2 linked regions of the Tribolium castaneum genome follow. The protein of the gene in region 1 purifies or fractionates together with the protein of each later gene. This does not show direct contact. Links are inferred from orthologs where the notes say so. Each region holds a gene or a part of one and is shown on either strand. Other genes may lie near its edges.

The links. Proteins that work in one complex are often made in the same cells at the same time.
Region 2: the proteins of lig (region 1) and rin purify together in Drosophila melanogaster (affinity purification with western blotting; 3 studies listed by BioGRID, with this or other methods). This does not show direct contact. The link is inferred for Tribolium castaneum from reciprocal best matches to the Drosophila melanogaster genes lig and rin.

Annotation. Positions count from the first base shown.
Region 1 is NC_087396.1:16,160,878-16,165,150, forward strand, and holds the start of lig (protein lingerer), read left to right. Parts: upstream 1-1,421; 5' UTR 1,422-1,549; exon of another isoform or gene 1,550-1,607; intron 1,608-1,956; 5' UTR 1,957-1,995; coding exon 1,996-2,083; intron 2,084-2,134; coding exon 2,135-2,328; intron 2,329-3,226; coding exon 3,227-3,701; intron 3,702-4,273. UniProt on the Drosophila melanogaster protein: Acts in the nervous system to mediate the control of copulatory organs during courtship.
Region 2 is NC_087397.1:6,616,696-6,619,757, forward strand, and holds the end of rin (ras GTPase-activating protein-binding protein 2), read right to left. Parts: coding exon 2,810-3,062; intron 2,761-2,809; coding exon 2,645-2,760; intron 2,597-2,644; coding exon 2,455-2,596; intron 2,402-2,454; coding exon 2,154-2,401; intron 2,102-2,153; coding exon 1,823-2,101; 3' UTR 627-1,822; downstream 1-626.

The sequences.
Region 1 (4,273 bases):
ACTTAAAAAACAAAAAAAAACATGTTAAAAATTTGATGACTGTTATTTTCTAATGCTTTGACTTTTTCATAATACGGAATTTGTAAATTTCACTAAGTTTATCAGCATTTGATTTGGAATTAACAGCAATTTTTTTATTGTTTTGGAGGTAAGACTTTTTTGTATCTAATGCGTTCATTCATCAAGAATTTCAACACCATCAAAGTCAAATTCAGGTTTTGTTTCTTTAACATGATTAGCTAAGACTGTTAGATTAGTTTTACATTATAAATTTGATTACACGATTTACAACTAATTCGAAAAACTAATATTTTTTCCAGTTTAGAAGGTTTCTTATTTTAATTTGCTAAAGACTTGATTTAATGTTTTTTTGTTATAATAGATGACTAATTTCAGACAATCATGAATTAAACAGTGTTACAATTTTTTTCTGATCAGTGGGATATTTATTAATCTACAATATTTAAAAGAGTGAGTTTGAAGTTGAAGAAGTTATAACCGGAATTTTTACAATTTAACAAATTAAGTTGGTCATTGTTATCATTAGATAAAATTTTGTTGATTAAATTAAATGGATAATTATTAATTTATGAAATATATTTGGTGATGTTGAAATTTTCGGGAAGTAATTTTGGGTCATGAGACTTAATTTTTGCTGAAGAGGGTGATTTAAATAAAAATTTAAAATACGTAAAGAAGATGTTGGTTTAATGTGCCAATTTGTTCTAATATTATTTTCAGGATTTCTAATAACTTTTATGTTTTAAAAATATAGTAGGACGGTCGGTGGAGAGAAACAAGAGACATCAATGGTGGCTAAAGCAAGAAAATCACTTATTCCAACAACTTTAATTGTTAAGATGCATTGTTTTTATACAGTTTTAAGCCACTGTTATAATTTTTATAATAAATTATTTAATTGTTCCTGCCATCTACCTTAATTCAAAACAAAATTGAAACTTGCGCTGTTTATTTTTCTGTATTTTTTTCTATTAACATATTTGTGACCGTCTAATGTTCTTGAGATTCTTTTAACAAAGTTCTTCCGTGATTCTTATTGACGCTCGTCCATGAACCAGTTCATTTACCTTACAAGAAGTACAAATTGCATACAAAAACATGTATCGGAAAAACAAAACTCGAATGCATAAGTTACAAAAAAGCAAAATAAGCGAATAATATTGTTGCGTTTTAATGAAACGTTATAAAATGAAATAAATAAAAGAACAAAGAATAAAAAAATGCAGGCACCGTAGCCACTTCCGCGGCATTTCCATTCAAATTAATCAAGTACAAAAAAAATGACTTCACCAGTTACAGCTCAAGTTTAGGTTTAACTGTCTTACAGCTGTGGCCAAGAATTAGAGTTTTTAGTGATAAACAAAATATCAAAACGGAAATTTTGTATTTATTTTGTCAAATTTGAAAATCAAAGACAAAAGCGTCAGTCTCGGTCGGTAATTTGGCGCGCTTTGGCAAACGTCCATCCGCCATTTTCGTGATCACGTGACCAGTTACTAGTGCGTTGTGGTTTTACTGAATTATACAGGTATGGTTAACGTTGTCGTTTTCGATTGATTTAAGACCGTTAGTGAGTGCTTGTTGAGGTATGGTGTGCAATTTGGGCCCCAGCCCCCGATTTCCAGCCCTCGATCGAGTCAAATTTCTCCGAAATCGCGTAATTTCCTCGTTCTGTTTGGTTGTCATGAACTGCTTTACAAGCTCTGAAATGGCGTCCCTCCACATGGTATAAAAGCGGTCGTCGGCCACCGGGGGCTTCCATCCCGCCGTGCGCGCCCCAATTTGCCCCCAGAGCTGCTATTTTTCTCATCCGCCTCACGCGCGGCTAGCCCCCTGATGCCTCTTTGTTATTGCCGGAAAATCCAGTTATTTCGCAACGGCGGCGATATTTACTCTTCCGAAAAATATGTTACTCATTGAGTTTATTTTTTACAGATAGTTTGTAAATAGTACACTGTACATACTGTACAAATCATGAGTTCGAGCAATCGAACCACCTCTAAAGGTGGGAAAGGGTCAAAGACTGACAATAAAACACACAAATCAGATAAATCCGACACAGGTGAGTTCGGGGGGCTTTTTGGCAATGCGGGGACTAAGATGCGTGTCTCAGGGAAAGGCTCAGACAAGCAGCAAGCAAGCAGAGATAACACACATGCAAAATCAGAAGATCCTTTCATTAAGGACAAAGTGAAGAAGCTGATGGAGATGTCTCAGAGGTCTGAAGAGGAGGTTTGTCTTGCTCTACATGATTGCGACTATGATGAAAACGCGGCCATGAACATGCTTTTGGAAAATATGGGGCAAGTGAGTATTGTTTTAGTTTACTGCTCTTAAACTGATTCTTTTCGTAAATCGTGTAGTAAATAAATTAAAAAAAAGTTTTGTAGTCGCCCTACTCAAGCAGTTTATAGCGTTTCACAGAATTCACGTCTTTTCTGCCATTGTTTTGCTGGTGTCGCTAGTTGCTGTCAAAAACTCAAAACAAAACATTATTAAATCATTAAACAATAGGATATCTGATAAGCATAAGTAAACAACGTATTCTTCGATTTTATTGTATTGTTTTATTTAATAGTGAACTACGTAAAACTACTATCCTATCGTGTAAACTGGTAATAAGTAACGGATACTTATGGGAATTCTAGAAATTCTATTTTTTGTTAAATGTATATTTAAAACGTAAAATGTTATCTTAAACTTACTGAAATTAGAGAAAAAGGGAAAGACAGAGTGATAAAATATAAGTAGAATGTGAAATGAGAGTGGTTTATGTTTGAGGTTGCATTTTTTGGTTTTAATTTAGTAATAAAACTTCTCACACAGTTGTAACCTTAACTCGTATTATAATAATTATATGTTACATTTTTGAAAAAATAACCATTAAAATTTGGTTATTGTTAATAACTAAAAATTGTTTATTTACTATTCCGGAAATTACATCAATTTGTCATGGTCAAGGCTAAACGACGTGGCATCAACATTTAATGACAATAATTTTTTTCTTCTACTTTTTAATGGGATGTATTTGTAATACCATGGAGGAACAAAACGTTAGTTTTATTTTTTGTGACAGTAGCGAATAAAAAAATCTTAACTGGTTTCTTCCCATGGTCGTCTGGTTCCGTTTTTTAATAAGTATGTATTTTCCTTTCGTTTTTAATTTGGTGTTCGCGTAATAAGAAGTCTGGTTTTGTGTTATCAGGGTGAGTGGGAGACTAGAGTTAAGAAGAAAAAGAACCGCCAAGCGTCCGCCAGCAAGCAGGAAAAGATAGAGGAGTCTGCGGGCGGCGACGATTGGAACGACGTCCCATCTGCCGGCGGGGGCGGCGGTGCCGGCAACGGCAACGAGAAGGACAAACCGCGGAACAAGAGCGGTCCGCCTCGTCTCCACGGCCGACATAATGACAGCCGCGGGTGGCGTGGCCGAGAGAAACAAGAAAACGAGCGTAACCTCGAAGAGGGCGGCGGTGGCGGTCGTGATTTCCACCGCGATCGTCGCGGCAGACCTGGGGGATCGACGCGTGGTCCTGGAGGCGGTCGAGGAAGGGGCGGCGGACGCGCTGGAGGCAGATATCCGCCGAGGGGAAGTCGGAGCAACGCCTATAACAAACCCATCGACACCTGGGATAACTCCAACACGTGGGATAACAGCACGGTGGCCGCAACGAACCACACGGGTAAGATAAGGCGATAGCCGAGGAATCTTCTTCAATAGAAATTTTGATTTATTTTTCTTCGGCGTCTCATCAGGATAATCAATTAATGTATTTTTTTTAAATGAAATATTTTGCTTCTTCGGGAGGAAATAACCTACTTATATGGAATATTTGGATAGTGAAAAACATGATTTTTTTGAAAAAATTATTTTATGTATAACTTTGAATGAAAGTCTATTCTCTGCTTTAGATCATTCGTTTCTTATAATTTATAATTCTTATAAAAAGGTAAGGAAGATTAGGTGTGTTTCTTGCTTGAAATTACGTTACTGTACAATTAGTTTTTTTTAATAAATGCATACTTATCAATCTCATCATACATTCAAAAAGAATTTTTGGTGAAATATTTTAAATTTTCTTTGCAAAACAATTTTTAATCAATTTTCGTTCCTAGAGATATCAAAGTTTTCAGGAATTTGATTACGAAATGCATAATTCAATTTTTATGAGGAAAACGATGGGGAATTTACGTTTAATGTATTTACACTAGTGAATGAAACAGATAATTGGTATCTATAACTCGCTAATATGAA
Region 2 (3,062 bases), on another chromosome or scaffold:
CTTAATAGTTTGGAATCGAACAAATGCAACTAAGCCAACATTAAGTAATTCATACTTACCAGTTTTTGTTATGTGGCCGCCTTCGAGCACCACACCAACTGGAATAAATTACAGCAAGCGGCTAAAGAGAAGCATCGCCCACAAACCGGAGATAAATTCCCTCAAATCCCACTCTCTCGTCTCTTTCCTCCCATCATAAATTTATAAACTTGTTATGACGTGGGTAAAATTTAAACGGGGCTTAAGCACAAGTTAACATCTGGACGACCCATATGTGTTTTTTTAATCAAACAGCGCTTTGTGACATCAGTTTAATTGATTGTTGAAACAAATGTTAAGTAACTGGCGCTTTGGCTATTGAGCTGAATTAAATAAGCCAGATTTTTGAGTCGGAATGTTGGTTTCGAAGATATAGGGTGACCCCTTCGTTAAATTTTAAGAAAAATTAAAATGTTTATGGCTCATTTATTAAGTATTTTTTGTCAATGAAATTAACTTGAGACTGAAATTAATAAATAGTAGTTTTTTTTCGTGTGGCGAAGGTATGCAACCAACGATGCAAGTGCTGTTAATGTTTAATTTTTTGAGTTGAGGATGTGTGTGTGAGGGAGAAAGAAAAACAGCGGTCGCTGTAACAATTTCCTTTAATGTTACTAATAACAAGTTGACAATATTACAGGAACGACAAACTGAAAAGATCCTGAAAGTAGATTTGTGACTAGTGGAACCTGCACAAGTCTTAGTTTAGCGAAGGAAGAACTTTGGTTAAAACTGTGTCGAGTATACTTTTGAGAGGAAATGTGATTATCACAGGAGAAAAGGAACAAATACTGTAACAAAACTTTAGGGAATAAAAAAAAGTGAAACTAAGCCTGTAAATAACATTCCACTTTTTCACCAGACAAATTTATAAAAATTAACAAAACACTTTCACATGCTACCTTAAATAAAATGGGGATTACACCCTCCACTTATTCACATGTAACTTTAACTTAATGTGGACACAAACACTTTAAGAGTACGCAACAAAAAATGACGGCTGAGTGATTTAAAATTTTGATCAAACCAAAACTGGTTAGCTGCAAAAAGTAAAATTTTTCTAATGTGCATAGTAATTACGTTGCGCTTGGTGTTGACAACTGAATAAAATAATTTTCGGGAGAAAGAACCGAATGAGCCTTAAAAACATAAATACTTAGAGTAACTGAAAATACGAGCGCAAAATCCTAAATTATGTTTAGAACCATATGAATAGGTGACCTTAGAAGCTAAATACACTAAATTTTCTACTGATTCCGTTAATATCAGCTCACATAAAAAGACTATTTTTTTCAATTTAAATTTTTATTTATGTACACTCCCTATATAATGTACATTTGGCATTAAAAAATAAAAAATAAGTATCTAGTAGAAAATTTAGTTACGAGTTAGCAGCTACTAACATCAACATGCATACAGCTGTTAGGTTATGTAAAATAATTGTAACGTACGACCCGTGGTGACCTGCTTATATTTAAGTTCAAACCATAAAACTATGCTCGAAACATTGTTTTTATCGTTACTCAACCTCCGAACGTTACCGATTTTTTCATCAACCAATCGCATTATACAACACAGCCAATAAGTACTTGAAAAAGAGAACTATTAGTATTGATTGGCGGATATCGCTTCGGACATTGCGCAACAATCCTAAACAAGAGAAAAAAAGAAATGGTTTGATGTAAATATGCAGCTAATGAACCACTATTGGCACTAACGTCATGATCCGTTCTTGAACACTGTACACGTCCCATTCACAATTCGTTCGCGCGAAGTTCACTTATTAGCGACGATTGTAAGTGTTCGGCCCTCGGTTCGGGGGTCCCCCGCCTCTGTTGTAGTTATTGGTCCGATTCGGGATTATACCCGACTGACTCCCTCCCGTTGCGTTGTTCCTATTGGCTCCCCCCAGGCCCGGGCCGCTCCGACGAGGCCCGGAGTCGCGCGAGCGGTTATCGTTGCTGCTCGGACGACCGCTCCCGTACGACTGACGATCCTTCGTCTTCTTCTCCTCCACGTTCAACTGAGTGCCGTTCTTGTCATCCTTCGGGTAATAAATCGGCTGAAAAAGACAGCTCAAACAAACCAAACCATTATTTTTTAAACTGCTCTACCTTCGCGGCTAAGCAATTCTGGACACCACTTTGCGTCTCATAAGTTATGAAACCGTAGTTTGGTGGAGCGCGACCGTTGGGAAGTGTTACTTTGTTGGCCGGCTTCGTGTGAATCCTCAAGTCGAGAATTGAACCAAACTCGGAGAAAATCTCGCGCAGCTCGTCCTCGGTCGCATTGTGGGGCAAATTGCCCAAGAACAGCTGGTTTTGATCGCCGAAACTGTTTCCTTGAGGTCGTTTCCTATCATCTGAAAAAAAAATAATTAAACGATCGTGTAATTCTAAATTATTTAAAACGTACCTTCTTCGTTAAAAGAGGGCCGGCCTGGGGCTCCGCGACCCGAATCTTGCTTCTGGACTCGTTGTTGGTTAACTCTAGGTCCCCGGTTCATGCTGTTGCGGTTTCCGAGGCCTCCTTGTTCTCCTCTAGGCCCCATATTCGGCTAAAACAACAATCAAAATTTGGCAAAAACACGATTAGTTTTCATTACCGGTGATACAGATCGTGGTTGTTGGGCCGGGGAAGTACCCAAAGGTGGGTTATTAAACGGTACGCTATTGCCCGATTTCAACAAGTTGGCATAAGTTTTGGGTTCATTAGACGCAACTGTAAAAAAAAGTTAACAAGAATCTACATTTTTCCAAAAATGACAAACCCGGCTCTTGGTTCAAATCCTGTTCATTGTCCTGTTCGTTCCCTTCATTGTAATTAATTTCCTGCGGCTCCTCGTTTTGGACTTCGTTCTGGGCTTCCTCAACCGGTGCCGCGGCATTCAACGGTGGTACAATCGTCGAAGGTTGGATGGTGGTGATGGGTGTCGGAAGGACCTGTCCTTGGCCCGCGGCGTTGACATGGGGCACCGGTCCGGGCATCACGTTGATATCGTCAGGATGCACGGCTCCGTTGAC